Linked DNA regions of Bombyx mori. The protein of the gene in region 1 purifies or fractionates together with the protein of each later gene. This does not show direct contact. Links are inferred from orthologs where the notes say so. Each region holds a gene or a part of one and is shown in the gene's direction. Other genes may lie near its edges. The genes, in order: chaperonin containing t-complex polypeptide 1 beta subunit, viral IAP-associated factor homolog, telomerase Cajal body protein 1 homolog, dynein axonemal assembly factor 10, rptor, thioredoxin domain-containing protein 9 and DDB1- and CUL4-associated factor 7.

Region 1 (2,738 bases):
TATCTTTCTATTTATGTAGTGTATTAGTGAGGGTAATTGTTCTCCTTTTAATAAAGTAATTGCTAAGTGGGGGTTACATAAAGACACACAATGAATTGATTTGTTACCCAACACATGTGCTAATTCATTATTAAATAACAAATCATAATAATTTATTTCTTTCAAAAAAGATCTCGTGACCCAGAGTATATATTCCAACGTATTTAAATGTTTATTGACTAAACTATAACATGACTTTGCTTGTTTCTTCAATAGGTGAAGTCAAACTAACGACCCCAGCGCTTCGTTGATACATAATGTTAATGCAGATATGATTAAAACAATATTTAAGTAAAATAAAACAAATTAACTGCATAGCATCTGAAATAAGCATAAATATGCTTATATTAAATTAATCTCTTGAAATTTTTGTGTTTGGAAGCCTAAGAGGGTATCTTATTATGGTAATTTTAATTTTCAGACAACTTATATACAACTACCCAGAGCAGTTGTTTGCTGATGCTGGAGTAATGGCAATTGAGCATGCTGATTTCGAAGGTATCGAAAGGCTTGGCTTGGTCACTGGAGGGGAAATTGTGTCAACATTTGACTCACCAGACAAAGTGAAACTTGGTCACTGCAAATTGATCGAAGAGGTAAAATGACATATTTTAAATCATAAGAAAACCTCTTCTCAATAAGAGATTTGCTGTCAATGCAGAAAATTTGTCTTTTGATCTGTTGCTATACCGATGTTCCTCAAGCATGGTTTTTTAACTTTTTTATCAATCTTCTGGTGCATAACTTGCTTATCAATATCAATTGAAGCACATACTCAAAGTAGACATTTTAAATATCTACTAAAAAGTGCATTTGTGGTTTCACTGTTCTGTTTGAGTTTTTTTACAACCTATTCAAGTACATATCCCAATCTTTTAAGGATAAAGTTTTTTTGTTTGGTTCAATTGAGTTTTTGCTGTAGTAACTACTTAATTGGCAATGTTTGTGGTGTGATGTTGTTTTCTGTCACCCAAATATATCAAAAATAAATCATAATATTAGGTAGCTATTTATAAAGTAACATATTTATAATCGGTGACCACTCACAGGTTCTGATTGGTGATGAGAGCTTGATCCGCTTCTCTGGTGTAGCGTTGGGCTCGGCTTGCACGATCGTAATCCGTGGTGCCACGCAACAAGTTATCGACGAAGCTGAGCGTTCACTCCATGATGCGCTTTGCGTGCTTGCTGCTACTGTAAAAGAACCGAAGGTCATATGTGGAGGAGGTATGAATTACTTAATAAAAGACTAAAATAAAACTATGTTTAATATATTTTACTTTTGCATTTTACATGACATTTACACAAAATATATCGCACTTTTAGAATTATACAGACCCATTTTGAAATTTTTTATTTCGACTTTAATTAAAAAATTGACCTAGAACGACCCATCATCAGCTGCTCTTTTTAATCAAATGACCGAAAGTAGCTTATAAAGGGACAAACTTATCCATAGGTCTCTTTCACATCATCCTCCTCTTATGTCTATTCCGTTTGAAAACTTTATTCAACGTTTTACAAAAAACACATTTTTTGGGTTAGGTCTCTATAATTCTAAAGGTGCGATGTGTGATTAATTAAAACACAATAATGTGTACCTAGTGTGATGGTGGGATATGGTGAGGCGCATCAAATTTGCATCCTCCATTGCTATATGTCAAGAGTGTAACGACTAAGAAGACAGTATATAACTGTAATATTTGTTATAGCAAAATGATGCGTTAATCTCTTTTAGTTGGGATAAAGGGTGTCATAAATTTACAAATATATTTTTTTACAAAGACTCGCAGATGGACTGTCGCAGTCACTGATCAACTTCGACTGTCTGGACTGAACACCCTATTATCTATACTGGAAATAAAATCCATATGTCAAAGCATTTTTTGCATGTAGGGGCTGGTGAAATGCTAATGGCAGAAGCAGCTTCCCGCGCCGGCGCTCGCACAGCCGGGAAGGAAGCCGCAGCAGCCGAAGCCTTTGCAGTCGCGCTCCGGAGACTGCCGTCCGCTGTCGCCGACAATGCTGGCTACGACAGTGCTGATCTCATTGCTCGACTCAGAGCTCATCATTCTCGAGGAGAAAACACTATGGGATTAGGTACTCTAATTTCATATTGTACTAGCTGTACCCGTCCGCTTCACTGAGCACTTAAAATTATTATTATTATTATATATTTTTTAATGGCAATCTGCCGATACTTTCAGCAATTTCTGCCAGTGTCGTGTTATGGCTACACATGGAACATTGTCGAGCTATTTAAACACACTTTTTATTATGAAAAGTATCCAATTTTGGCAATAATAATGGTGCCTGGGACTAACACAAAATTAATGTTACTATAAACTTACATATTATAATAAAGATTATGTACAGAGAGTAATGCACTACATATCATTATAATTTTATAGAGTTAGTAGTTAAAAACTTAATAAAAGCACTTATAATACGGGGATCTGGGAACAGTGAGAGGTTGTGGCGGACATTTACCGGCCGTTGAATTTTCAGTTCGCTAATAACTTGGTCTCATATGAATGAGTTGTTCAAGCGACAATTGAGGAAAATGTGATCTATACTGCTGTCGTCCAAACCACATTCACACAACGAATTGTCACGTATTCTAATTTTATATAGAAATACCATTTAAAATTAACAGTATTATTTCTCACCCCCACAAAGATTCTCATCATTAACGCCCC
Region 2 (4,170 bases), on another chromosome or scaffold:
CACGGTTAAGGGTTAAATTGGGATATTTGTAAGGGTTGTCAACTCGCAGTACTGCGATATATAGGTAGGTGCCATATAATTATTTATATGGACCGAAATGATGAATACAATCCATAATTTAAGCACAATACACAACATAGTGTAAATTAAGCTGGTTTCTATTCCGAAGCGATGTGACGTGAATGATAATCAACAATACAATGATCAAAAAAAGTATGTGCATGTTATATTTTAGAAAATTATTATTTAATTTCCTTAAAAATCACAACTCTGAAACAAATTGATAAAATAGAATAAAAAATAGAAAACAAAAGGACTGGAAATGCAATAATACAATTTTATTTAATCAACATTTTCAAAATAATCTTTGAGCAAGAGTAAGATATCAGGTGAATAAGATAAAAAAACAGCTTTATCTGATTACTGCCAATAATAACAAAAATAAAAGAAATTCTTTCTAAGCTAAATAACTAAACTCAATTAATTCACTCACTCATAATTGGATATATCGGATTTTTAATTAATGTTACATTTAAAATCTGAGGCCTGTTTTTATTTGTGTGTGCGTTTTGAATGTTAACAAAATCATGATTCGATGCGTGAATAGATTCTGAAATAACAAAAGTTTTGATTCGTTTGAGTTCTTTTAACTTTTAATTTTTTTTATTGCTATAAAGAACATACGACCGGGCAGATATTACAAGGTAAATGTCGCGAAAAAAAGTAATTATATATATACTTTTCTTTTACCTATAATACTTACATAAACTAACTGATAAACACATTAACCTTCTTTACATCACGCAATTAAGTGATAGTATAGGCTAAAAAATCTATTATAAGATATCAGTGACAACCCTAACAAGCCATCCCTATTTTGTCTTTTGGCGTTCCAATTTTGTGTTTTCTCGTCCCTAATTTTTCCAGTCTCGTTCCCAATTACCCTACATACGTCCCAATTTTCCCCAAAAAGAAAGGAAAAAATATACATTTTTTATTTTGTCGAAATATTGTATTTAAAATAAGAATATTGCAACTTACCGTTTGTTGTGGTATTTCCAGGTGTATTAAAAACTTATATAAACTGTGATCTTATTGAAAAAACAACGATAATATTACTTTTTTTAAAAGTTCTTTAAGCTGTTTTAAAACTCACTTTTCAACCACTATTTTCAATTTAATTTGACGAATTTTTGGGACCAACTTAACTCATATTTAGTACTTCCATAGTTAACTTGGTTTTTCTTCTATACATTGATAAATATTAACTTAAACAAAATTAGGTAAATTCCGTGCTACAGGTACTTTGAGAATCTTCCGCAGGTTTGTCCCAATTTACCCCAGGATCCCAATTTACCCCATGTCATGGTACCTATTGTTCTACATATTTCATGACAAAGTTTCCTTTGCCTGTCTCAATGTTAAGTCTATGGAAAAAATATCTGGTGTCAAATTTCCTGAAAAGCTGGAGCAAGTTTATGTATTTCAACTATTAGAATTTTAATTGTTAATTTAATAAAATGCAGGTATAATAAATGGAACTTATCAGTAAAATGATGTGCAGTACATTAAAGTGAAAAGTTTAATTTTATTTTGTTGTTTATTTTTAGAACCCCAATGAAGATACAGAATGGAACGATACCCTTCGAAAGATGGGTATTATACCGCAGAAAGAAGCGGAGTTTTCGGAGGCCGATATTGTGAACATGATAGAGGACACAATACAGCAAAAGGAAGCTGAAAGTAGGTCAACAAATACGAATTTTTGAGGTTAAGCTCTACGATGTAAATGCAATATGTATTGGCTCATCAGTAATCAACAGTGAATCATTACCCGGAAACACTGAACGTAATGAACTTCGAAACTTTTTGGTTTAAGTACCTATAATTTCATTATTCATTATACATTCCTTTAGACTAGTCTAGTTTATAATTGATATGCATCACCAGTACACTAAATGAATCCTGGAATTAAACAGTCACCAAATTAATAGTTTTCTTTCTGCAATTCAATCATTTTGTTAAAAAAATTCTTTGCATCCAACACCTTATGAAATGTTCAGCCAAGCGAGACTCATCACCTAAATTAGCTCTAGTAAGTACAGTTAAGTGGGACGCATTCATTTTTGTACTGGCATAGATAATGAATATTCACCAATTATGAATTTTTTGGTGATTATTTGTTACATCAAAATACATTTGCTTGAATTTATATATAAACTAAATTGAAAATATTCAGGAATAACAAGACATGTTAAGACACTACTAATGTTTAAAGAAATATTTTTCTTAAAGATCTGACAAAATGTTAGTCACACTCTGTATTATTATAATTATAAATGTTCAGCTATGAATTTACAATTAACTTTGTGTTTTGTTTTCCATTCTGACATACTGAACAATTAACCCTACGAATTTAAGAAGTGACTCCCTCAAAAATGTAGTAATCATCACCTATTGGGTGCAGAGAATTGATAGGATAGTTAATGAGTTCATTTCATTGGTAGAACGCCAGTTCAGTTGATAGGGACACTTTTTTTAACATCAGCCAAAACACCATCGTAGATAGTTGTATGCTGAGGACGAGAGTTCAAGCCACCCTTGGCAAGTGTTTTGAACACTATAAACTACATAATTAACTGGACTGACTGTGATGGTCTCCAATAATAACAATTTTTACTTATTCACAGAACAAAAACAATTATCTGAGTTAGACCTTGATGGATTGGACGAACTTGAAGATTCAGAAGATGAGGCTGTTATAGAAGAGTACCGCAGGAAACGATTAGCAGAAATTAAGAAGCTGTCTGAGAAGCCTAGATTCGGAGAAGTGCGAGAAGTCTCTGGTCAAGATTATGTGCAGGAGGTTAACAAGGCTGGTCAAGACATTTGGGTGGTCATTCATTTGTACAAACAGGGGTGAGTGGAACGATGAATAAGATATAAAGACATTAGATAAACCAATATCAATGTATGTAGTTTTTTTCCTCTAGATAACCTAGCACTGACTTTTTATGTCATTGGGCCATTATGACCCTTTATCTGCAGACTGCTCCAATGATTATTATCAATCATATAAATCAAAAAATTTCAGAATACAACAATGTGCACTAATAAATCAACATCTACGAGAATTAGCAGTCAAGTTTCCCTACACAAAATTCTTGAAAGCCATTGCTCAGACTTGCATCCCAAACTTCCCAGAGAGGAATCTGCCTAGTTTATTTGTTTACTTTGAGGGCGAAATGAAGCAGCAGTTTGTGGGGTCCCACGAACTAAGGGGCACCAGTTTGACTTGTGATGGTAAGCTATGAGAATTGATTTTTATAGTTTTTTTTTAATTTAATTATAATTGGTTACATTTTTAGTAAGGATTACTATTAGTGATTGTTATCATATAACAATAGCACCACAAGGCTTGCTTCTCACCAATAGCAAATTTAATACAGTAGTAGTAATTTAGTCAGTAGCAGTATAACATGTGAGTCTCCATTGAGAAGCATCCGTTTTGCCACCAAGAGTGAACTTCAATACAGTGTATTGTAGTTGAAGTAGCTGTGAATAAATCAATTTTTAAATGATGGTAATTGATAGCTTGATACCTTATATAGCATGGCCAATAGTTCTATGTGAACTTTGTGAATCAATTCACTTTTGTAGTGGTTGTTATAGAGTTATGTATGAATTAAATTATATTGACATTGAAAAATAGACAAAAATGAAAATATAATGAATAAAATGAGTCTGAACCGTGAGATATTAGTGATTATAGTCAAATTGAGATGAGCTAGTGGAAAGTAATAAAATAAATGTATTTGAATTTCCAGAACTCGAATACATACTCGGTAAGGTTGGAGCTGTCGAAACGAGCATAACAGAAGATCCCCGACCAAAGATCAAAGACAAGTTGTTTACTGACCTTGGAAGTAATGACTGGTGATTTTAGAATATTAATTTATGTTAAAGTTAATTTATATTTTATGTTACATCTAACAGTATGTTTTTTTTTTAAACTGTATTCTGTCGCTTTACTTATCAAAAGCTTCTTATGTGAACTGTATTAAATTAATATATTAAGGTTTGTGCTAAATGAGCATCATTATCAAGTGAACTTGTGTTGTTATATAGGACCCCGTTGTAAAAAAAAATCTATAGTAATGGCGTATATAC
Region 3 (4,029 bases), on another chromosome or scaffold:
AATCACTGAAAATACTTTATAAAAATATATTTCACTTTCATCAATGTACTAATTTGATCAATAATGAATAAAGGTTATACCTACCGTCCTTGAACGAAGATAATAAAAATTGCGAGATAATATACTTTCCAAAGTAACTTTTTTGACTGCATTTCAGTTAATTTATTTTGAATTAATTGAAGCGTGACGTGTACAACCATTGAGTGAATTTTGATGATATTTTAAAATAAAACAAGCCACGCCACAGCGCCTTTAGTTGTGTGAGATCTGAATTTAAATACATAAAACATATAATAAAATCTCCGTGCTAACCTGCCTGAGAGACTTTGCTAACATCTACTGTAGCAAGAGTAGTGCTTTATTGAATTTATTGCCGGATCAGAATCGCGACCTACTGATAAGATCCGGTGAGAAACTCAAGGGTTGTGTCTGTGGGTTAATGTATAGTTGTGGTGTCACGGCGGAGCACACGTTCGCATACTGCCCCGCTTTCGCGAAGCAGCGCCGCACCCTCGTTGCAAAAATAGGTCCGGACTATGTGCGGCAGCGACGAGCCCTGGCAGGCGATGCTCGACTTCTGTGAGTCCACCATCATGCAGAAGGAGGCGGCGGAACGGGGAGAGAGAGCTCTTCTTTCCTCTCGGCGCCGGGCCACCGCCACCGAGCCGGGAATTGGAGGAGGGTGTTCGTCCAGCTCCAACCCCTGTGAAGAAGCAGTCTCCTCCCGGTGATGTTCACGGGGCGACCTGAGGTAGTCGAGGTTGCGCCACACGCTATTGTCACTGTAGCGTGCTGGCATGTGACGACGCATCTTCGGAAGCGGTCCGCGATGCGGTCCGCATTGCCGTCGTCGCTGTCGTCGTCGAACATACTGTGGAAGAGCAACCGTATAAGGGGCAGGGGAGTCGTTTAGTGCGGTAGGGTCCTTAAATAATTTTGGACCTACGGTCTGCTTCCAACATCTGCAGATCGTCAAGTCTCATATACCCTGCGTGCCCCCTAGGCGGGGGAACCTCATGGGAGGTTCAGCCCCCGGCCCCAAAAAAAAATTATGTTGTTATGTATGTACGACCGTTCTTGTGATTGATCATTCCCGATCTCGAGATTATATTTCATCCCATATCATCTCATTTCATTTCATTTCACTCCATATAATTATCATTTTTCATAAAAATAAGAATATTATAAATTAATATAAGACATGACCTAAAGATCTTAGTTACCAGGTCATAAAATCCCTTAAAAAAAAGTAAGGCGGTAAGGTCGATTGACGAACGACGATTTTGTTTTTATTTTGAAACCGTGAGCGGAATAATTGTCAATTTGTTATACATAATCACAAATTGTGTTGTGATCTACCTTTATTATGGAAAATTGGTCAATGGAGACACCATCAAGAATAAACGCTGAAAATATACCTCAAACCATAACTCAAAATCCGAGTGAACTTACATTGGGTTCGGCGTGTACAGAAAACGCTTTTCAATATCCAGCATTATTTACAAGCAAAAGCTTTCTTGAATTGTCCACTTGCTCGTGGTCAAGGGGTCGTAATGCTAATGAGAATATACAGCCTTATTTACGTGGATGTAAGTGGTCCCCAGATGGAACCTGTTGCTTAAGTGTTGTCAATAACGATGGTGTTCATGTTACCGAGCTTCCTAGTGAATTGTACCAGGGCGTTGTTTGTGGCGATCGTATAATCGATGTCTTAGAATCAGTGATACATTTAAAAGAAACAGGTTCAGTTTACGACTTCTGTTGGTACCCATTCATGAACAGCACAAATCCCCCTTCCTGTTGGTGAGTGAGATTTAAAACTCAATATTTGGTCTACAATGGAATTGATGTAAATATAAAATATCGTTACTTAAATATCAACCAATCTAAAAATTAAAAAAATGCTCAGTGCCTTATGACAAAGGTGTACAACCAATGTGTTTTACCAGTGATGACGTACGGTTCTGAGATATGGTGTTTCACAAGGGAACTTTTTAAGAAGCTTAGTGTCACACAGCAACCTATAGAGAGGGCTATGTTTGGTATTTCTTTATGAGATCGAATCAGAAATGAGGAGATCCATAGAAGAGCCAAACTTGTTACATAGCCCTAGGATTAGCAAGCTGAAGCGGCAGTGGGAATGCCATATAGTACGAAGATTGACAGCCGATGGGGCAGAAAAATCCTTAAATGGAGACCACGTACTGTCAAGTGCAGTGTGCCGTGTACCAGATGGGCTGATGACATAGTGGACATCAGTAGGAGAGGCCTATGTTCAGCAGTGGACAGGCTGAGATTATGATAAAATATCAATTTTAGTTTGTCAGTAAACATAATTTCTCTTCCTTTAAAATAAGGAGCTGAAATAGATTTCTTAAGAAATGCCTAACTTTCATGTAACTCAATAATTTTATTGACAGCTGGTTAACAACAAAACAAAATTCTCCCATACAAATGTGGGATGCATTTGATGGATCACTCAGATGTTCATACAGAGGATTCAATGCAGTAGATGAAATGGAACCAGCTTTATCAGTTAGCTTTACCTCAGATGGTAGAAAAATCATTGCTGGCTATAAGAAGCATTTAAGAATTTTTGATGTTGAGCGGTAATTCTTCATTATCAAATTTATCTTAAAACTTTAATTTCATGCTCAGTGTGGGTATTTAAGCAAAGCTTAGACTTGCTAATAACTACTTTATATCAAGGCAGGAAGCTTTTATCGTATCTATACTAATATAAAGAGAATTTGTTGTATGGAAGTAAAATCTTTTAATATACTCATTAAGTTAGTAATGTGCTCAAGATAGACAATTTTTTTATTTCTTTGATTGGTATACAACTAGGTTTTAAGTGATTACTAGAGCTCATAGACTTCAACAACATAATTGTTGCAATCCTGCCTGAGTTCTAGGTCTATTTTATTTGCTTGTATATTAATCAGTAAATTTTTTAGGCCTGGCAGAGAATTTACTGAGCAAAAGATTTCTAGTTCAGCATCTAGCATTTCAACACAAAATAACTTAGTTGCTGTTGGTTCTTGGAATACAACAATAACTTTGTATAATGAATCAGAAATTGGTACTAAGAAAATTGGGGACATGTATGGACATGGAGGTAAATAGCACTGAATAATTGGTGTAACGTTTGTTACATATTGTTATATATATACCCAATACCTATATATACCTAATCCAGCCATAAGTTCTGTTTCAAATGAAAATGTTTTTTTTTTAATGAAGTAAAAAGAAATGAAGTCAGCAAAAAATAAAGAAAAATATTCTACTTGAAATGGCCACCTTTGGCTTTTATACAGGCCTTTAATCTGTTTGGCCATGAAACTATGAATTTGCGCACTGTTTCCAAGGGAAATTTCACTGCTTGCTCCAAAGGTTTTTTAAGACTCAATGTCGCTGTATCGCTTAGAGCAGGCCATGTTCTCTAAAACTGACCATAATTTCAAGTCTAATGGTTGAGGTCTGGGCTCGGTGAGGCTGGACTTCAGCTCTTACAAAGTCTGGAACATTGGTTTCAAGCCAGGCTTGGGTAGTTCCTGCCTTGTGACCAGGTGCAGAGACATGCGGGCCAGTCCACAGTATATTTTTAAAAAGTGTATTGCTGAGAGGTTTTACAGCATAATCCAAGACATGGATACATGGACAATGATACACATTGACTGAAGTTTTCACTTTCTTTTTCACAAAAATATAGCTTGTGATTCCTTGATAAGACACGCCCCACCAAACCATCACTGATGCAGGATGATGACCACTTTGTACCTTTCCTACCATTTCAGCAGCTTCTTTAGAACTGTGAGTGTACACTTTATCATTTTGTTTATTGCAGTGTTCTTCAATAGTGAAATTTTTTTCATCAGTAAAGAGAATATTTCTGTGCCTTTCACCTGCATATCGCATCAAAAGGCATTTTCATTTATCCAATCACTTTAATTATAAAGATTGATTTAGGGTATATCCTGCGAGCTTCAGGTCTTGTTTTATAATACGCGACAGAGTCCTATCGGGAAT
Region 4 (4,178 bases), on another chromosome or scaffold:
GATACATTTGATTTCTATAGGATTTACATTTCACTAACACTTACAGATTGTCTCGACTTTTTATCACCCATTGTATTCCCTTTATTTCAAAACCGATTCAATGACACTAACAACTGCTAGCACCCAAGGAAGTTTTTATTTTTTATTTAACAAATTTTATTCTTTTTTCAAATAAATAACTTCATTCATTCTTTAGACTCGTAATTTTTTTTTCAATTTTCTTTTCATTTCCTCATATTTTTAGAAAGTTATTGAAATATAAAGTTTGGCCACAATTTTCCAAGCTATAAAATTGTCGTTTGACACATGGGATAATCAAAGTTGAGAATTTGATTGAATGGTCTGTTCCAAAGACAAAAAGGGCCCATAATGCCAAGTCTATTGTAACAAAAAATCGAACTGAAGGACGGAAAGTGATTTAAAAAAGAAGAAAGATTTTTCAGAGGTTTTAATCAGGTTAAAATTTGAAATGATAATTCAAGTATTAACCTTTTAGTGTCTCTAAAACTTATGAAGGGTAGAAAGAAGTAAGGAGCACCATCTTGAGTAGGGGAGAAGCTGAAAAATGTTAGAAGATTACTGGTGGTAGTACGTCTTATGAGTCCGAACGGGTAGGTACCACCATCCTGCCTATTTTTGCCGTGAAATAGTAATGCGTTTCGGTTTGAAGGGTGGGGCAGCTGCTGTATTGTTCCTTACAACTCATGTCTCGAGGTGGGTGGCGGCATTTACGTTGTAGATCTACGGGCTGCCGTTACCACTTAACGCCAAGTGGACTGTGAGTTAGTCCCCCATCAAGGCTTTATAAAAAAGAATAACTAAATTAGCGCTAGTCTAGGAAATGGAAATGATAGGAACATGGGAGGCTTAAGCAGAGTGAAGTGTGCTGGGTTGAAAATTTAATATTTTTTGAGACTTGCGTAAAATATTATATGGACTTTTTGGCGGGAACGCAAGAAGTGAAATTGTGTGATTTGTTTTATTTTGTCTATTTAGTGTTTCTTCAGGTTTAAATGTGTAATAACGGTGGTTTATTAACAGTTTAATATATGTGAAAGTGGACAAATCTGGGAAAATGAAACAAAGCCGCTGGACGTAACTTCTCGGGATCCTCCAACAAGTCCGCTGAAAAAATCTCAGTAAATGAATGACCACCACCATTTTACTGATATTTCATCCCACATCATCTCATTTCAATTCATTTAATTTCATCCCAGTTGATTAATGTCTCAAATTACCTAATCATCTTCATTCACTCCATAATATTTATAATTTTTCATAAAAATAAGAATACTAATTAAAATAAGACATGACCTAAAAGTCTTAGTTACCAAGTCATAAAATCTTTTAAAAAAAGCAATATTATGTGGCCTATGATGCTGTTGCCTAGCAACCAAAAACCAATGCTGTCTGTCACGTTTGTTTTCGCTAAAGATTCGCATAAACCTTTGAATATTTCTTTTATATCTATTTTTAAGTCATGGAAGAATTGAATACCCCCCAAATAATTACCCATATTGAAAATAACTTAAACCATTCACTATTTGATTGCAAGTGGATACCATGTTCGGCTAAATTTATAGTACTTGGTTCTTTACCGAAAGGCTCGGGTACCATTGAAATATTTGAAATAAACGCCGGAGAAATTAAGAAAATAAAAGAAATTGAGAGGTCTAACTCGTTTAAATGTGGAACGTTTGGAGCAAGTAGCGACATTGAGAGACGATTTGCTACTGGAGACTTTAGAGGCACTTTGGAAGTATGGTTTGTAACAAAATCATAAAATCCATACTTTTTCCGGATAATCATAAAAATCGAATGTTAATAAATAATTTATTTTCTATAGGGACTTAGAAAAAGGTTCCCAAGTGTACATAACAAAAGAACATTCAGATATAATTAACTCAATAGATGGGATGGGAGGTAACACAACCAACTGTGGAGCTCCTGAAATTGTAACTGGCAGTAGAGATGGTAAGGTTTCATGCCAAGGATTATCCTGTTACATTAAAGGGTACTCGTGTGGTGATGAGTAGATTTTCTAAATCAATATTACAATACCTTCTAAGATTTGACTACCATTAGCCATGTTGACATACTGGGATAGTTTTTTTTTTATCCTCATCAGATTTTGATTTTGTCCAAAATATTTACAAATTTTATACACAAACCTTTCTCACACTTCTATTTATATCTTTGAAAATAGTATCAAAATTTGTTAAGTCATTTAGAATAAGTAATCAGAGAAACAGACATTGGGTTTAAAACTCTTTAGGAAAAATAAAAATGGTAGTGATAACATAATAATTACTGAAATTATAGGAACAGTAAAGGTTTGGGATCCAAGGCAAAGAGGTAAACCTGTTGCAAACATGCAACCAATGCAAGGTGAGACTAGAAGGGATTGCTGGGCTGTTGGCTTCGGAAACTCATTTAATGATTCTGAAAGGATTGTAGTTGCTGGTTATGACAATGGAGATCTTAAAATGTTTGATTTGAGAACAATGTCACTTAGGTGGGAATGTAATTTGAAGAATGGAGTAAGTATGTAATTTCAAGACTAAATTTAAGATTTTTATGTCACAACTCGCAATAGGCATATTATACAACATGCATGATAAAAAGTTGTTACTGAAACCTGTTAACATCAGTAAATACAGGGTCATTACTAGTTGTATAGTAGCAGTAGTTATTCACTTTAATCTTGTCCTAAGAAAGATGTGTTATATTTTTCAAAAAGTCACAGTAGTGGGGGAGGGAGTTCATTTTAATTTTAATGTGAGTAATTATTTAAGAAAACATCAACACAATTGAAGTAAATAAATTCAGTTAATCTCGAAATTTTTATCATTATCTCAACTGGTACTCTGATGAACAATGACTTGTTATTATCTGTGTGTGTTTTAATTCTTTGTAGTTTATGATATATCCTAAATTAGCTTGATAGGTTGTTTTGCAATAGAGATATATATTTATATAACTGGTGGTAGGACCTCATGTGAGTCCGCACAGGTAGGTACCACTACCCCGCCTATTTCTGACGTGAAGCAGTAATGCGTTTCGGCTTGAAGGGTGGGGCAGCCGTTGTAACTATACAGAGACCTTAGAACTTATATCTCAAGGTGGGTGGCGCATTTGCATTATAAATGTCTATGGGCTCCAGTAACCACTTAACACCAGGTGGCCTGTGAGCTCATCCACCCACGTAAGCAATAAAAAAAAAAATATATATATATATATATATTAAATTATATCTAAGTCAAAATTAATAGATAAATATTGAAGAATTTTTGTTTGTTTAGGTATGTTCCTTAGAATTCGATCGTAAAGATATTCCAATGAATAAATTAGTGGCAACCACACTTGAAGGGAAGTTTCATGTTTTTGATGTGAGGACTCAAAATCCAACTAAAGGATTTGCTCAGGTAACCTAATGTTTTACTGACCAGCAAGGAATGTCTTTGAGAAATAAATATGAAGATTGCATGCAATGCAGAGCATTGTTAAATTTGAATTTTCCTACCCCTGCCTTATCTATTTTTACCACCATTAAATCACATGTTCTGGTGTATACTATAGTACAGCTGTTGTTCCAATTTCTTTGAAAGTTTATCTACTCTATGTATTTGGCAGAATTCTTCACATTGCAGTGTCTGTTATCTCAGCAATAGATGGGCTGTATCTCTATTCATCAGAATCCATGGACCTTAATATATTAAAAGCACAATCTATAGTTACATCAGTTAATTTAAAAGTCGTCGTGGCCTAAAGGATAAGACGTCCGGTGCATTCGTATCGAGCGATGCACCGGTGTTCGAATCTCGCAGGCGGGTACCAATTTTTCTAATGAAATACGTACTCAACAAATGTTCACGATTGACTTCCACGGTGAAGGAATAACATCGTGCTATAAAAATCAAACCCGCAAAATTATAATTTGCGTAATTACTGGTGGTAGGACCTCTTGTGAGTCCGCACGGGTAGGTACCACCGCCCCGCCTATTTCTGCCGTGAAGCAGTAATGCGTTTCGGTTTGAAGGGTGGGGCAGCCGTTGTGACTAATACTGAGACCTTAGAACTATATCTCAAGGTGTGTGGCGCATTTACGTTGTAGATGTCTATGGGCTCCAGTAACCACTTAACACCAGGTGGGCTGTGAGCTCGTCCACACATCTAAG
Region 5 (3,500 bases), on another chromosome or scaffold:
CTTGATGGTGAGTGGTTACCGGTGCTCATGGTCAGCAATAGCCAGGCCGTTGTCTATGACTGGTATAGTGTAGTTTAGGGGAGGGAGGGAGAGGGAGCGAGAGAGAGAGTGAGGGAGAGTGCGCTGCAGGGTGCGGCGGGCGCGGCGTGCCGGAGCAGCTGCCGATGGTGCTGCAGGTGCTGCTGAGCACGCTGCACCGGGTGCGCGCGCTGCAGCTGCTGTGCCGGTTCCTGGCGCTGGGCGCGTGGGCGGTGCGCGCCATGCTGGCCGTCGGGATATTCCCCTACATGCTCAAGCTGCTGCAGGCCTCCGCGCCGGTGCTGCGCGCCTCCATGGTCTACATCTGGGCCAGGATCATCGCGGTCGATCCGGTTTGTATTACTTATACATTTCGTTCATTTTATATTCCCTCGGCCAAAAAAACAAGTGCTGGCAATTTCAGCGAATCAAATAGTGTAAATGCAAATTAAACGGTATTAATGCTTTTACACATATTTTGAGTGCAGAACGAAACGAAATGGTATTTCTTAATTGTACTTAATTAATCATTAATTGTTTCAGAGCTGTCAAGCGGACCTAGTCAACGCTAAAGGGCACACGTACTTCCTGTCCGTACTGCAAGACCCTACAGTCGACGTAAGTACCCGCAGCAAGGTGCACGCCGCGCGGGGGGGAGGGTACGCAAGACAATGGGATTGAAAAGTACACTATACACTAAATTGATAGACGAGCTTATAGTTCATATGGGATTGATTGTCTATCAGAGCCCGTGGACTACACTTTCCAATTGTTTCAATCTTATAGCCTGCGACACTAGGGCCATGCACGTAGCATTCAATCAGGATCATCTTCCATTGAAATAGTTCCGTTTCTGCAGAGCGAGCACCGCACCCTGGCCGCCTACGTGCTGGCTGGCATCGTGGACGGCTACCCGGCGGGGCAGGAGGCCGCGCTGCAGGTGAGCCCTCGGACCGCATCGCATGTGTTGTGTATCTACGGTCAGCTGCTGCAAGACGTACGTAAGAAATGAAACTAAATGAAAATTTCGATTGGCAGGGCTCAATGATATCGATATGCCTCGAGCAGCTCGGCGACAGGGAGCCGGTACTGGCCCAGTGGATCTGCATCAGCCTGGGCCGGCTGTGGCGCGGGTTCGAGGCGGCGCGATGGACGGGAGTCAGAGATCTCGCGCACGAGAAACTGTTCCCGCTCCTTGAGCATTCTGAGCCTGAGGTACTGATACGTTACCCCCCTCGAGGGGGCCGTCACGGAGCAGCTGTCCATGCTCCTACACTATTGTGTGCCCGGGTAGACGAGCCCACGGCCCACGTGACGAACAAGGTTGACAAGGCTTATAAACATCACATGAATAGTTTCAGTGCTACTGTGACGGGGTCCTAGTATTGCTTGCTTATATTCATATTCGTCGGCCTGTAATGTAAAGCGTACTAACTCGCGACGTGCTTTTGTACGCTTTACAAGTCGTGCTCGTTTGTCAGCAACATTTTCGACTCTGTAAGCGATTTCTCTTTACCTTCTATTAGTTTATTTTTATTTTTTTATTAAGTTTTATTAAGGGGCTTTATTAAGTTTTAAAAGAACTTTATTGGTGGTAATTACTGGTTTTATTTACTGGTGGTAGTAAGTACCACCGCCCTGCCTATTTCTGTTGTGAAGCAGTAATGCGTTTCGGTTTGAAGGGTGGAGCAGCCATTGTAACTATACTTGAAACCTTAGAACTCATATCTCAAGGTGGGTGGCGCATTTACGTTGTAGATGTCTATAGGCTCCAGTAACCACTTAACAACCAGCTGGGCTGTGAGTTCGTCCACCCATTTAAGCAATAAAAAAAAAGAATAGTTGATGTGACGATGTTGCGGCGGCAGGTCCGCGCGGCGTGCGCCTTCGCGCTGGGCTCGTTCGTGTGGTGGTGCGGCGGCGCCGGGCGCTGCGAGCAGGCCAACGCGCTGGACCTGCAGGTGGGCGTGCAGCTGGCCGCGCGCCTGCCGCTCGACGCCAGCCCGCTCGTGCGCGCAGAGATACTGGCCGGTACGTACCCGCGTGTCTGCCTATGTCACTCGGGAATAGTATAACTTACAAACAGTGAAAGAATTTTCCAAATCGATTCAGTAGTTCCGGAGCTTATTCAATACAAACAAACAAATCTTTCCTCTTTATAATATTAGTATAGATTTCTAAATCAAATAGAACTTCTCTATTTGATTTGAAGAGGTTTGAGTCTACAGTTTTATAATAATAATTATTTTTTACAGCATTACAGTGGCTGGTGTTAATATTTGAACAACACTTCATCGCTGTTTACATACAAGAACGGGTCAGAAGAAATGATAGGTAAGAATTAATATGAAGATTGCACAATTTTTTATATTTTTTTATTGCTTATCTGGGTGGACGAACTCACAACCCAGCTGGTTGTTAAATAGTTACTGGAGCCCAAAGACATCAACAACGTAAATGCGCCACCCACCTTGAGATATAAGTAAGGTCTCAGTATAGTAACAACGGCTGCCCCGCCCTTCAAACTGAAACGCATTACTGCTTCACGGCAGAAATAGGCAGGGTGGTGGTACCTACCCGAGCGGACTCACAAGAAGGCCTACCACCAGGTAAAATTAAAACTTATTTCAAAAATGTACCACTTAATAACCCAATTCACCTAAATACCTAATATGCACAGGGGTGGCCCGTCCGGGCGCGTGGAGGCGGGGCAGGAGGCGCTGGCGGGGGGCGGCGGGGGCGCGGCGGGAGGTCGGTCCCGGCCCCCCCACTACTCGCTGCCGGCCATCGGGTTCGGCTCCGTGCCGGTCCGGCTGTTCTCCACGCTGTGCGCCATGGCCCGGGAGCCGCACCCCAGGGTCGCGCAGATGGCCACTGACATCCTCAATTACATCTCGAACCAGGTCAGCCTCTCGCTCCAGACGTTTGCCATAAAATTAATACGGTGCAGTCTTATAATGTAGCAATGAAGCAAATGGCAAAAAAACACATGGGGGACGGACCCTGATCTTAATGACATATATCTACATACTGTAGCATAAACAACCAAACACTGAAGTATAGAGTCGATAAGCTAACGTACACCGCCTACATAGAGCTTACATATAATAACTGTGCAACAAAGAAATAGTAGGCAGCGGCATGGCTTTACCCCTGGCATTGCTGAAGTCTACGGGTGATGGTAACCATTCACCATCAGGTGAGCCGTACTCTCGTCTGCCAACACTACAAGGGCTATAAAAAAATAATTATTATTATGTGATCATAAATTAAAATTAAAATTAACCTATTTGTTAAGGTGGAACAAAGTAAGAATCTGATTTTTTTTTTGTTTTAATCGAATTTTTTTTTTTTCGGAATTCTTTGCGGACAAATATAATGATAAATGAGTTTTATAAAATTAGAATTGTCAACAGAGCGCCCAAGTGGACAGCGTGGCGGAACCCGCGCGGAACTCCGCCAGCCTGCCGCCCTCGCCCGGG
Region 6 (4,196 bases), on another chromosome or scaffold:
TCTTGCCCGTGGAAGGATCGTTCATGTCTCTGGCCTATGATAACGCGTCCCAACGCGCCGTCATAGCGTCCAGACCGAGTTCGAATGGTCTAGAAAGATCTAAGTTGAGCGTCTGTAAATTGAAACCGAGCATACCGAACGGCGAAGTTATTTGTGACGTGGTAGAAACATTCTCGGGGTCGCTCAGGTCCTCGTTGATGTCCAAAGTGGCCTGGGTGAGGTTAGCGAGCTCTGCGTGGGTCGCCGCTCATTCTGAAAGCGATTCAGCGCTTTATTTGCACGGCGTCGACGGCACGCGGACCATGTCCCTGCCCGCGTCGGAGCCCGCGCTGGACGTGTGCTCGGTCGAGACGAACGGAAGCAATATACTGGCGGCTCTGTCAGAGTCCCGACTCAGGCTGTACAAGGCGGTCCCCACCAATACGTGACACGATTACACCATTCCATATTAATGTAACTTTTATATTGCTTGACGACGTTGTAGCGTTCAAATTGTCTTGACAGCTGTCATTTTTGACAAGAGTCATGAAAAATTAAATTGAGTGCTTGTTGTCTCTTTTGCTCCCGAAGCTGTGACTTCAGCATGCAGCGTCTATGGTCACTTGCTTATAACAACGCGCTAAGTACTTTGATTTGTATAAATATAATAATTCTTAAATGATATTTTAGACTTTGTAATATAATTTATATTTAAAATGTTTTGTAAATATTAATTGTGTTGAGAAAGTAAAATTTAAACCTTGATACTGTGTTATGTTTCTCTTTGTACACCCATATTATAGAGCTGAAGTTCTTACCCACAGAGCCTCAAGTTTGAACGTGGTGCATGGTGCATGAGGCAGGTGGTTTCAGAAAACTGAGTTATGGTATGTTTACCAAAATCAAAGACGCGATTGTTTAAAATGTCAAGAAAACTAATTAGATGAAAGAATTATATTAATATTAAGTGTATTAACCACGATATTAATTATAGAATTTTGCTATATTAATGGTATTCAATTTGAATACTCTTAACAAGGTAAATAGCTAGTTAATTTTTGTCTTTGACAATAAATAATGCTTTATATATTCAAATAGTAAATATGGAACATTCTTTCTTAAGATTAGGCTTTAAAAGAAAGGATCTTCGCACCAGGTCGATCGGCAGTTCATGTACTGGTATCCAGTAAAATAGATAGGCATTTTGTGAAAAATTCACCAGTCAATCTCCTTCGGATCCTTCCGACCTGCAGATCAGACCCGATACAGGCTTCGCCCAATTTAGATTTTTACTTAGGATAGCATACTGCATTAACTGTGGGAACCAGACTTTTTTTTGCTAAATATCTTCTTGGCTTGGCCTTTGTAGTCATAAGCCTTTTCTGGACTTTGATTTCACTGTCAAAATCAATATTGTCAACTGTCGATTGAAACTTGTCAAAACTCAAAACTGAAAATAAACAGTAGGTCCACTTTTGTTTCTAAGTTTCCAATACGAAAGTCTGTTTTTTTGAAAAGAAATTCTTAAATTTACCACATTAAAGACGTTAATTAAGTAACATTTTTATAAAACTCATTATTTGAACCAGTACAAATCATCGTAAAAACGTAAGTAACAGTATTATTTGTGAGAAATGTACCGTGTGCGCGAATGAGGTCACCACCATTGATTAGGTTTTAAAAAAAGTAAAATGATTTTTTTTATTTTCGGTTTTCATTCAAAAATTCCTTTCTTTTGCGTCATACCAGAGTTTCATTCTATATACCTTTTTTCTCAGCGGTTCTAAGCCCCTGATGCGGCCGGTCTACGTCCGTGCCGGGCCCACGGCCCACGCGTGGTCACGTCTCTTTTAGATAATTAAACCAGTTTGCTCACCATAGCAGCTTAATATTAAATTCTGTAGTGCGCATTTACTCTCGTATCTAAATTATAATTTCTAAAGATTAATAAGCAACGGTAACCGCTTACATCCCATCTCTCTGGTGCTAATTACTAAAACTATTGGTCTATATTTACTCCAACTGATTGTCTGAAGGGAAGCACCATCCACAATATGGTTAGGTAAGCAACTTGGCCATGTTAACTGCTTACTCTCTCTAGTAAGAGTGCTAGAAAATAATTGTAAAACAATCTCTACAATAATGTAGATACCTGACTGTAATTGTGTGGCACTTAAACATAAATTTGACAATATAAGAAGGTTTAGAGTTTATAATATTGAAATGTTTAAAATAACGTAAACAACGATATCCACATGGTCTTAAAATTAATTTTAATTTTATCAATACCTCGCTAAAACCTAACAAAATACAATGATTAGTTGTAAAACTGAGAGTAAAGGGAATGAGTGCTCATAAATAGCAGCACTACGCCAAAAAATTATTAAAATATCAATTCAAAATCGTTTTTTTTTTGGTAATGTTTTCTTTGCACACAACAAATGAAGAATGAAAGTATTTCAGATATGTTGTACGTTATTGTGGATGTTTGAAAAATTTTGGGGTAGTTTTTGCACTGGTAAAATTGACAGTGATTGTATTAATGTAGTTATTGAAAAATTAAGAAAATATTTAATAGGTCAGACTGTATATATTCTATAATAGTTTTATTACAAACTCTAAGTGACAGTCATTTATTTGTAGAAATAGAAACGCCATTTATGTTACGGAGCGTAACAAACAATTTTGGAATTGGGTGTAGTACACTTGGGTGTAGTAAGAGCAGACAAAAAATAAAACAATCAGTTCCTTTAAATTGAACACTCAGGAAAAATCATTCACGTCCTAGAGCCATAGGGTAGAGTGTGGCAACATTGAAGATGAAATTTAAAGAGCAAAGCGAAACAAAGTGTAACATTCTATGCCTTAAAGACTTTTTCACTACTACTAGGTATATAATTGATACTAGCGAGTACTGAATGATATTTTATGATATCGATTCTTAGAACTGTCAATACATGTGTCTTTGATTAAAACCGTTTCGTTATTATTGAACTTTAGCTCGTTTAAATATTTATCATTTTTGTTCTTTCACGGAATACTAAGTATAGGCAATGTGATTTTTTATCATAGTATATTAAATTGTGCCTACTAAATTTGTTTATATTTAAATGTTATAAGCTTTTTTTCAGTAATCACAATGGCGAACGTCGACCAGTTGCTGCAGCATGTTGCCCAGAATGTAGAGAGACAGATTGACAGTGAAATCGAAAGGTAAATAAAATGGTACTGTAAAAACTGAGATGTTAGAACATATAGCTCAAGGTAGGTGGCAGCATTTACGTTGTAGATGCCTATGGGCTTTGGTAACCATTTAAGATAAGATGGGCCGAGAACTCGTCCACTCATCTAAGTAATAAATAAGAACAGATTATTAGTATTATTAAGAAGCATATTAATAATATATTTTACAAATCTTATCGCTAACTATTGCACGTGTTAATGACAAATGACAATAAATTTAATTACCGACTAGAATATATCACTAACAAAAGCTAAATACGGGATTATTGAACAATTTAGACGAAAATAATGTTATTTAATTGAGTTGATAGTTGAGTGATGCGACCCCGTGATATCGCGGGAGCCCGGCCATACTACCTGGCCTACCTGGGAGGTACTCTGGGAGCGACAGCTGGTCCAGGATGTAGCAGGTCTCCAGAGGGCTTTTATTTTTATTTTTTATTGTTTTGATGGGTGGACGAGCTCACAGCCCACCTGGTGTTTAGTGGTTACTGGAGCCCATGGACATCTACAACGTAAATGCCGCCACCCACCTTGATATATAAGTTCTAAGGTCTCAGTATAGTTACAACGGCTGCCCCACCCTTCAAACCGAAACGCATTACTGCTTCACGGCAGAAATAGGCGGGGTGGTGGTAACTACCCGTGCGGACTCACAAGAGGTTCTACCACCAGTAAATTCTTTTCTAAGTATCTCTACATATTACAGATTAGACGCTCTGGAAAGTGGGGATCTAGAGGCGATCAGACAACAACGCATAGCTGAAATGAAATTAAGAGCAAAGCAGAAACAAGAGTGGTTGGCCATTGTGAGTGTTGCCAGCACAAAACTATTTTGTATTTATTCGTGTTTTCTACAGAGTGTGTCCATTTCCGTGAGAGTATTGTTTTAAATTGACGTTTCTGGTAAAATAAGAGGCAACCGTTCTCGAAATTAAAATCTATCACAAAATATCGTTTCGTATTAAATAGTA
Region 7 (4,073 bases), on another chromosome or scaffold:
TCACGTGGATCATTATGGGACAAAGCAGTCATAATATGTTATATTTTAACTGTTTTGTTTCTTTATTTTAAAATTTAGTTTTAGTTTATTACAGATTTAGGCTATAAAAAATTAATTGGGGCCTTCGTTTTCATTTTTGAAGATTGTTATCATGTAATCACGTTCCGTTTTCTATTGCATCTGGTTTCTAGTTACCACGAAATGGGGAACACACAACTCAGGCGAGCAGACAGACGCTCTTCGAAACGTCATGGCATTCGAACAAAGCGCCTAATAAAAAGTTTTACATTGCCAGTGTACTTTATTGCTATTAATTAAATTCGGGCACTTTAAGTATCTATAATAATCTTTAACATAGTTATGAGTTAAAAAGTTATACAAACTAATAAGTCTGTCCTTAATTTTTAATTAAGAAACTGAGACTGCCCAGGTATCTAGGCAATAAAAAAATATTATACACAATAATAGAAAACGTAAGAAATTTAGAACCTTTTTACCTACGATATCAGATCAGGAATATGGAAATTCGCAGGAAAACCGTAATAACTGACATAGCCGAAGGAATTGTGAGATTGAAGTGGGCAGAGCATTGCTCGTAGAACAGATGGCCACTATGGCTGAAACGCTTTCGAGTGGCGACTGTGTAAAGATGTAGCTTGGGTGGAGCTCCCACAAGGCAGACCAGCTACCTGTTAAATATAGCGGGAATCCGCCGAATGCAGACAGTGTAGGACCGGTCGTTGTGTCGAGGCTTTGGGGGGGCCTTTGTTCAACAGTGGACATCTGTGGATATTGTCGTTTATTTAACTTTCTATACATAGCCTGGTTTTACTACTCATTCAGTTTCGAATAGGTAGCTTACTCATTATTGAATTTTTACCAGGCATATGTCTTCAAATCCAATTTCGTCTTATTGCAGCCAATTTAATTTATTTTTAAATTATTTCATTTTCATTCATAAAATAATTTTCATTACACTTTTTTAACAACTAACAGAGATTCGACATATACTAAAGTAGGGACCCGCCCTTGCTTCAGAAACTGTAATTGATTATTGATTTCTCCACTATTTAATGGATGTTATTATACATATAAACCTTCCTCTTCAATCTCTATCTATTAAAAAAAGCGCATCAAAATCCGTTGCGTAGTTTTAAAGATTTAAGTATACATAGGGATATAGGGACAGAGAAAGCGACTTTGTTTTATACTATGTAGTGATGAGGTTTACTCGCAGATGCTAAATTCCCGTTGCCTAGTCAAAAAACGAAACGAAAAAAAATTAAAATGTCAGATTGTCCTACTTGCCAGTTGTCAAATTTTGTAAAAATAATGCTTCATGCTTGTTTTCTCCACACAAAACTAAGTTTTTAGTTAATTTCCAATTATAAAATACATTAATTGAAGGTACAGAAGCTCATGGACAGTTCAATATTTAAATAGGTATATTTAAATCAAACATAACAAAGCCGCTTGGTGGCCATTCTGTGATATTACGGCAAAGGTACATAAAATATATATTTTTTGTAAATTTAAAACCATATGTAAAAATCTAAAAAATATAACTTGAAAGGTATGAAAACTTACGTACTTGAAAGACAAAAAAAATAAAAAAGTCACTATTCATTAAAATTTCATATAAATATCATTTTGATTTGTGTTTTCAGAAACATTAAACATTATCAGTGATGTCGATGCCACACAGCAGTTCGAGTACCAGTTCAGGCACGAAACGTAAAGAAATATACAAGTAAGTAACGTTACAACACAATATGAACTATAAATAACAGATTGGAAATAATTGACAGTATAAAATACAGAGTTGACCCAATTTTGAGATTGCTAATTATAATTAGGTATAGCGTGTTATTTATTTCTGTACCCATTCCTATGTTTCGAAACATTTGTAATACAATCAAGCAGGCATTATGGGACTTACTAATTTAATGCTTTAGATGTTTTGAAATATACAGATAATCCTTTCACAATTCCCGAAAAGAACTAAAGTGATGTTAACAAATTGCAAAAACAGCCTTATCTTGATAATTACGTACGAAATTTGAGTTGTTCATACAGTTAGGTTAAATTCTCATAAACGAAGTTGTGATAAAAAAAAAACACTATAAGCTAGACAGCTGCATTTCTATGTCACACATCTTTTACAGATACCAAGCGCCATGGCCATTATACTCAATGAATTGGTCTGTCAGACCTGACAAGAGATTCAGGTTAGCCCTGGGCAGTTTTGTTGAGGAATACAACAATAAAGTAAGCTTTTACAGAGCAGTTATTATATTAATTTAGTAATTTACAAAACATACCAACAGGATTAAGTAAATACAGTATAAAGGCCCAGATAATGAATCATGCAAAGCTAATGCAATTTTAGGGAAGTCAATTTGTCAAAAATTTCCCACTCATTGAATTATAAAAGATAGAGGTGTGTGCCTTATAATCTATAAATGCATAATATTACCAAAGAAAATACACAATAAATTACATATTTTTGTTGTTGTTCATTTTTCAGTAGTTGACAGAATTGGTAGGAGCACTTAGTTTGTGGAGGCTGTTCTTATAGACCAAGTAGACAAATACAGCAAGAAAAAAAAAATTCTAAGTAATTATTGGTGCATAATATTACTTACTTAATTCCACCATTAAATTAGTAAAAACTCAACTACATACTACTAATTAGTTAATTGTTTAGCATAATATACAAACATATAGTAAGTAAACCAGGAGTTCCCAAGATATATAACCCACTTAGACACACAATAACTTGACCGCAAAGGTTTTAATTGGTGAGTATGTTGTATGAATAGGAAAAGAACTAGGGATAGGGTTTTTTAAATAATTTGGGTATGGGGTTTTGAGGTATCAGTTCATTTTAAAAAGGGGTCTGCCAAAAATTGTTTTATATTACCTAATATAAATGAATTTATTAGTTTTCACTACATTGAAGGATTTTTAGTGAAAACTAATATATTAATGGTTTCATTTAACACACATACTGTATTGTAGCATTCCTTGTGCATGACATAAGCTTAATAAAACTCTTAAATCCTAGGTACAAATAATTTCCCTTGATGAAGACACAAGTGAGTTCACTGCAAAAAGTACCTTTGATCACCCGTACCCGACCACCAAGATTATGTGGATACCTGATAGCAAGGGGGTGTATCCAGACTTGTTGGCAACTAGCGGTAAGACTTCGGTAGCAGTTTGTTAGCACTAAGATTACCATATTTAATATGGAGATAATGAGGCTTGAATTTACTTTTACACTGCTACATAGACAAAAACATATACTCCCAAAAATAATGCTTACAATATCATCTCTCTCTAGAGAAACAGTATTCATGATAGTCTTTGAGCTCCATAAACCACTGAATTGTACTTAACTGAGCCTGTCTATCTCCTTTGTCGTCATATCACTCTTGTCAGAGCGGTTGTGGTCGTCATTCAGCATCATTGCTGAGGGCAGATGTTATGCGCCTCACAAGCAATCGCTACTCCTCCCGGTTTGTGGTGAGCCTGGTACACTCATGCAAACAATAATAATCAATCTACATAAATAAAAATAAGTGATACCCTATGAGTACAATATGAATGATTGTGATGTTAATAGAGGCAACTTTCGTTGACATAAACAGTTTTGATAAATAATCAAATTCAAGTAAAACTATTCAATAAAATTTCACAATGGTGCCTTATGTTGCAGGTGATTATCTACGCATATGGCGTGCCGGAGAGCCGTACACATTATTCGAATGTGTCCTAAATAATAATAAGAATTCTGACTTCTGTGCTCCTCTTACATCCTTTGATTGGAACGAAGTGGATCCTAACCTCATTGGCACCAGTAGTATTGACACGACCTGCACCATCTGGGGCTTGGAGACTGGACAGGTCTTGGGCAGGGTCAATGAAGTGTCTGGGCACGTGAAGACTCAGTTGATCGCTCATGATAAGGTTTGTGATTTTTATTTAATAGAAGATCTTGTTAATTCATTTGTGTCCAAAATTTATGTTAATGATTATCTGAAGATTATTGGTGTCTTCAAAAAATTTTC

Evidence for each region.
Region 2: the proteins of chaperonin containing t-complex polypeptide 1 beta subunit (region 1) and viral IAP-associated factor homolog purify together in Homo sapiens (co-immunoprecipitation; 3 studies listed by BioGRID and IntAct, with this or other methods). This does not show direct contact. The link is inferred for Bombyx mori from reciprocal best matches to the Homo sapiens genes CCT2 and PDCL3.
Region 3: the proteins of chaperonin containing t-complex polypeptide 1 beta subunit (region 1) and telomerase Cajal body protein 1 homolog purify together in Homo sapiens (co-immunoprecipitation; 3 studies listed by BioGRID and IntAct, with this or other methods). This does not show direct contact. The link is inferred for Bombyx mori from reciprocal best matches to the Homo sapiens genes CCT2 and WRAP53.
Region 4: the proteins of chaperonin containing t-complex polypeptide 1 beta subunit (region 1) and dynein axonemal assembly factor 10 purify together in Homo sapiens (affinity purification with mass spectrometry; 3 studies listed by BioGRID and IntAct, with this or other methods). This does not show direct contact. The link is inferred for Bombyx mori from reciprocal best matches to the Homo sapiens genes CCT2 and DNAAF10.
Region 5: the proteins of chaperonin containing t-complex polypeptide 1 beta subunit (region 1) and rptor purify together in Homo sapiens (affinity purification with mass spectrometry; 3 studies listed by BioGRID and IntAct, with this or other methods). This does not show direct contact. The link is inferred for Bombyx mori from reciprocal best matches to the Homo sapiens genes CCT2 and RPTOR.
Region 6: the proteins of chaperonin containing t-complex polypeptide 1 beta subunit (region 1) and thioredoxin domain-containing protein 9 purify together in Homo sapiens (co-immunoprecipitation; 3 studies listed by BioGRID and IntAct, counting the BioPlex papers as one, with this or other methods). This does not show direct contact. The link is inferred for Bombyx mori from reciprocal best matches to the Homo sapiens genes CCT2 and TXNDC9.
Region 7: the proteins of chaperonin containing t-complex polypeptide 1 beta subunit (region 1) and DDB1- and CUL4-associated factor 7 purify together in Homo sapiens (affinity purification with mass spectrometry; 4 studies listed by BioGRID and IntAct, counting the BioPlex papers as one, with this or other methods). This does not show direct contact. The link is inferred for Bombyx mori from reciprocal best matches to the Homo sapiens genes CCT2 and DCAF7.

Annotation. Positions count from the first base shown.
Region 1 is NC_085119.1:8,627,060-8,629,797, reverse strand, and holds part of chaperonin containing t-complex polypeptide 1 beta subunit, read left to right. Parts: intron 1-460; coding exon 461-635; intron 636-1,088; coding exon 1,089-1,266; intron 1,267-1,935; coding exon 1,936-2,139; intron 2,140-2,738. UniProt on the Homo sapiens protein: Component of the chaperonin-containing T-complex (TRiC), a molecular chaperone complex that assists the folding of actin, tubulin and other proteins upon ATP hydrolysis.
Region 2 is NC_085131.1:763,685-767,854, forward strand, and holds the start of viral IAP-associated factor homolog, read left to right. Parts: upstream 1-1,370; 5' UTR 1,371-1,520; coding exon 1,521-1,526; intron 1,527-1,610; coding exon 1,611-1,743; intron 1,744-2,690; coding exon 2,691-2,919; intron 2,920-3,094; coding exon 3,095-3,303; intron 3,304-3,827; coding exon 3,828-3,940; 3' UTR 3,941-4,170. UniProt on the Homo sapiens protein: Acts as a chaperone for the angiogenic VEGF receptor KDR/VEGFR2, increasing its abundance by inhibiting its ubiquitination and degradation.
Region 3 is NC_085124.1:10,450,348-10,454,376, forward strand, and holds the start of telomerase Cajal body protein 1 homolog, read left to right. Parts: upstream 1-1,229; 5' UTR 1,230-1,366; coding exon 1,367-1,803; intron 1,804-2,420; coding exon 2,421-2,609; intron 2,610-2,957; coding exon 2,958-3,118; intron 3,119-4,029. UniProt on the Homo sapiens protein: RNA chaperone that plays a key role in telomere maintenance and RNA localization to Cajal bodies. Specifically recognizes and binds the Cajal body box (CAB box) present in both small Cajal body RNAs (scaRNAs) and telomerase RNA template component (TERC).
Region 4 is NC_085131.1:9,119,332-9,123,509, reverse strand, and holds the start of dynein axonemal assembly factor 10, read left to right. Parts: upstream 1-1,378; 5' UTR 1,379-1,480; coding exon 1,481-1,764; intron 1,765-1,846; coding exon 1,847-1,974; intron 1,975-2,322; coding exon 2,323-2,540; intron 2,541-3,302; coding exon 3,303-3,425; intron 3,426-4,178. Other genes in the region: CXXC-type zinc finger protein 1, read right to left, coding at 45-71. UniProt on the Homo sapiens protein: Key assembly factor specifically required for the stability of axonemal dynein heavy chains in cytoplasm.
Region 5 is NC_085123.1:798,403-801,902, forward strand, and holds part of rptor (regulatory-associated protein of TOR), read left to right. Parts: intron 1-129; coding exon 130-371; intron 372-561; coding exon 562-636; intron 637-877; coding exon 878-958; intron 959-1,056; coding exon 1,057-1,233; intron 1,234-1,886; coding exon 1,887-2,049; intron 2,050-2,273; coding exon 2,274-2,352; intron 2,353-2,698; coding exon 2,699-2,921; intron 2,922-3,434; coding exon 3,435-3,500. UniProt on the Homo sapiens protein: Component of the mechanistic target of rapamycin complex 1 (mTORC1), an evolutionarily conserved central nutrient sensor that stimulates anabolic reactions and macromolecule biosynthesis to promote cellular biomass generation and growth.
Region 6 is NC_085117.1:95,771-99,966, reverse strand, and holds the start of thioredoxin domain-containing protein 9, read left to right. Parts: upstream 1-1,396; 5' UTR 1,397-1,587; intron 1,588-1,713; exon of another isoform or gene 1,714-2,041; intron 2,042-3,099; exon of another isoform or gene 3,100-3,110; 5' UTR 3,111-3,118; coding exon 3,119-3,192; intron 3,193-3,931; coding exon 3,932-4,031; intron 4,032-4,196. Other genes in the region: E3 ubiquitin-protein ligase RFWD3, read left to right, coding at 1-428. UniProt on the Homo sapiens protein: Significantly diminishes the chaperonin TCP1 complex ATPase activity, thus negatively impacts protein folding, including that of actin or tubulin.
Region 7 is NC_085118.1:1,110,545-1,114,617, reverse strand, and holds the start of DDB1- and CUL4-associated factor 7, read left to right. Parts: upstream 1-1,273; 5' UTR 1,274-1,504; intron 1,505-1,667; 5' UTR 1,668-1,688; coding exon 1,689-1,750; intron 1,751-2,165; coding exon 2,166-2,268; intron 2,269-3,067; coding exon 3,068-3,203; intron 3,204-3,721; coding exon 3,722-3,972; intron 3,973-4,073. UniProt on the Homo sapiens protein: Involved in craniofacial development. Acts upstream of the EDN1 pathway and is required for formation of the upper jaw equivalent, the palatoquadrate. The activity required for EDN1 pathway function differs between the first and second arches.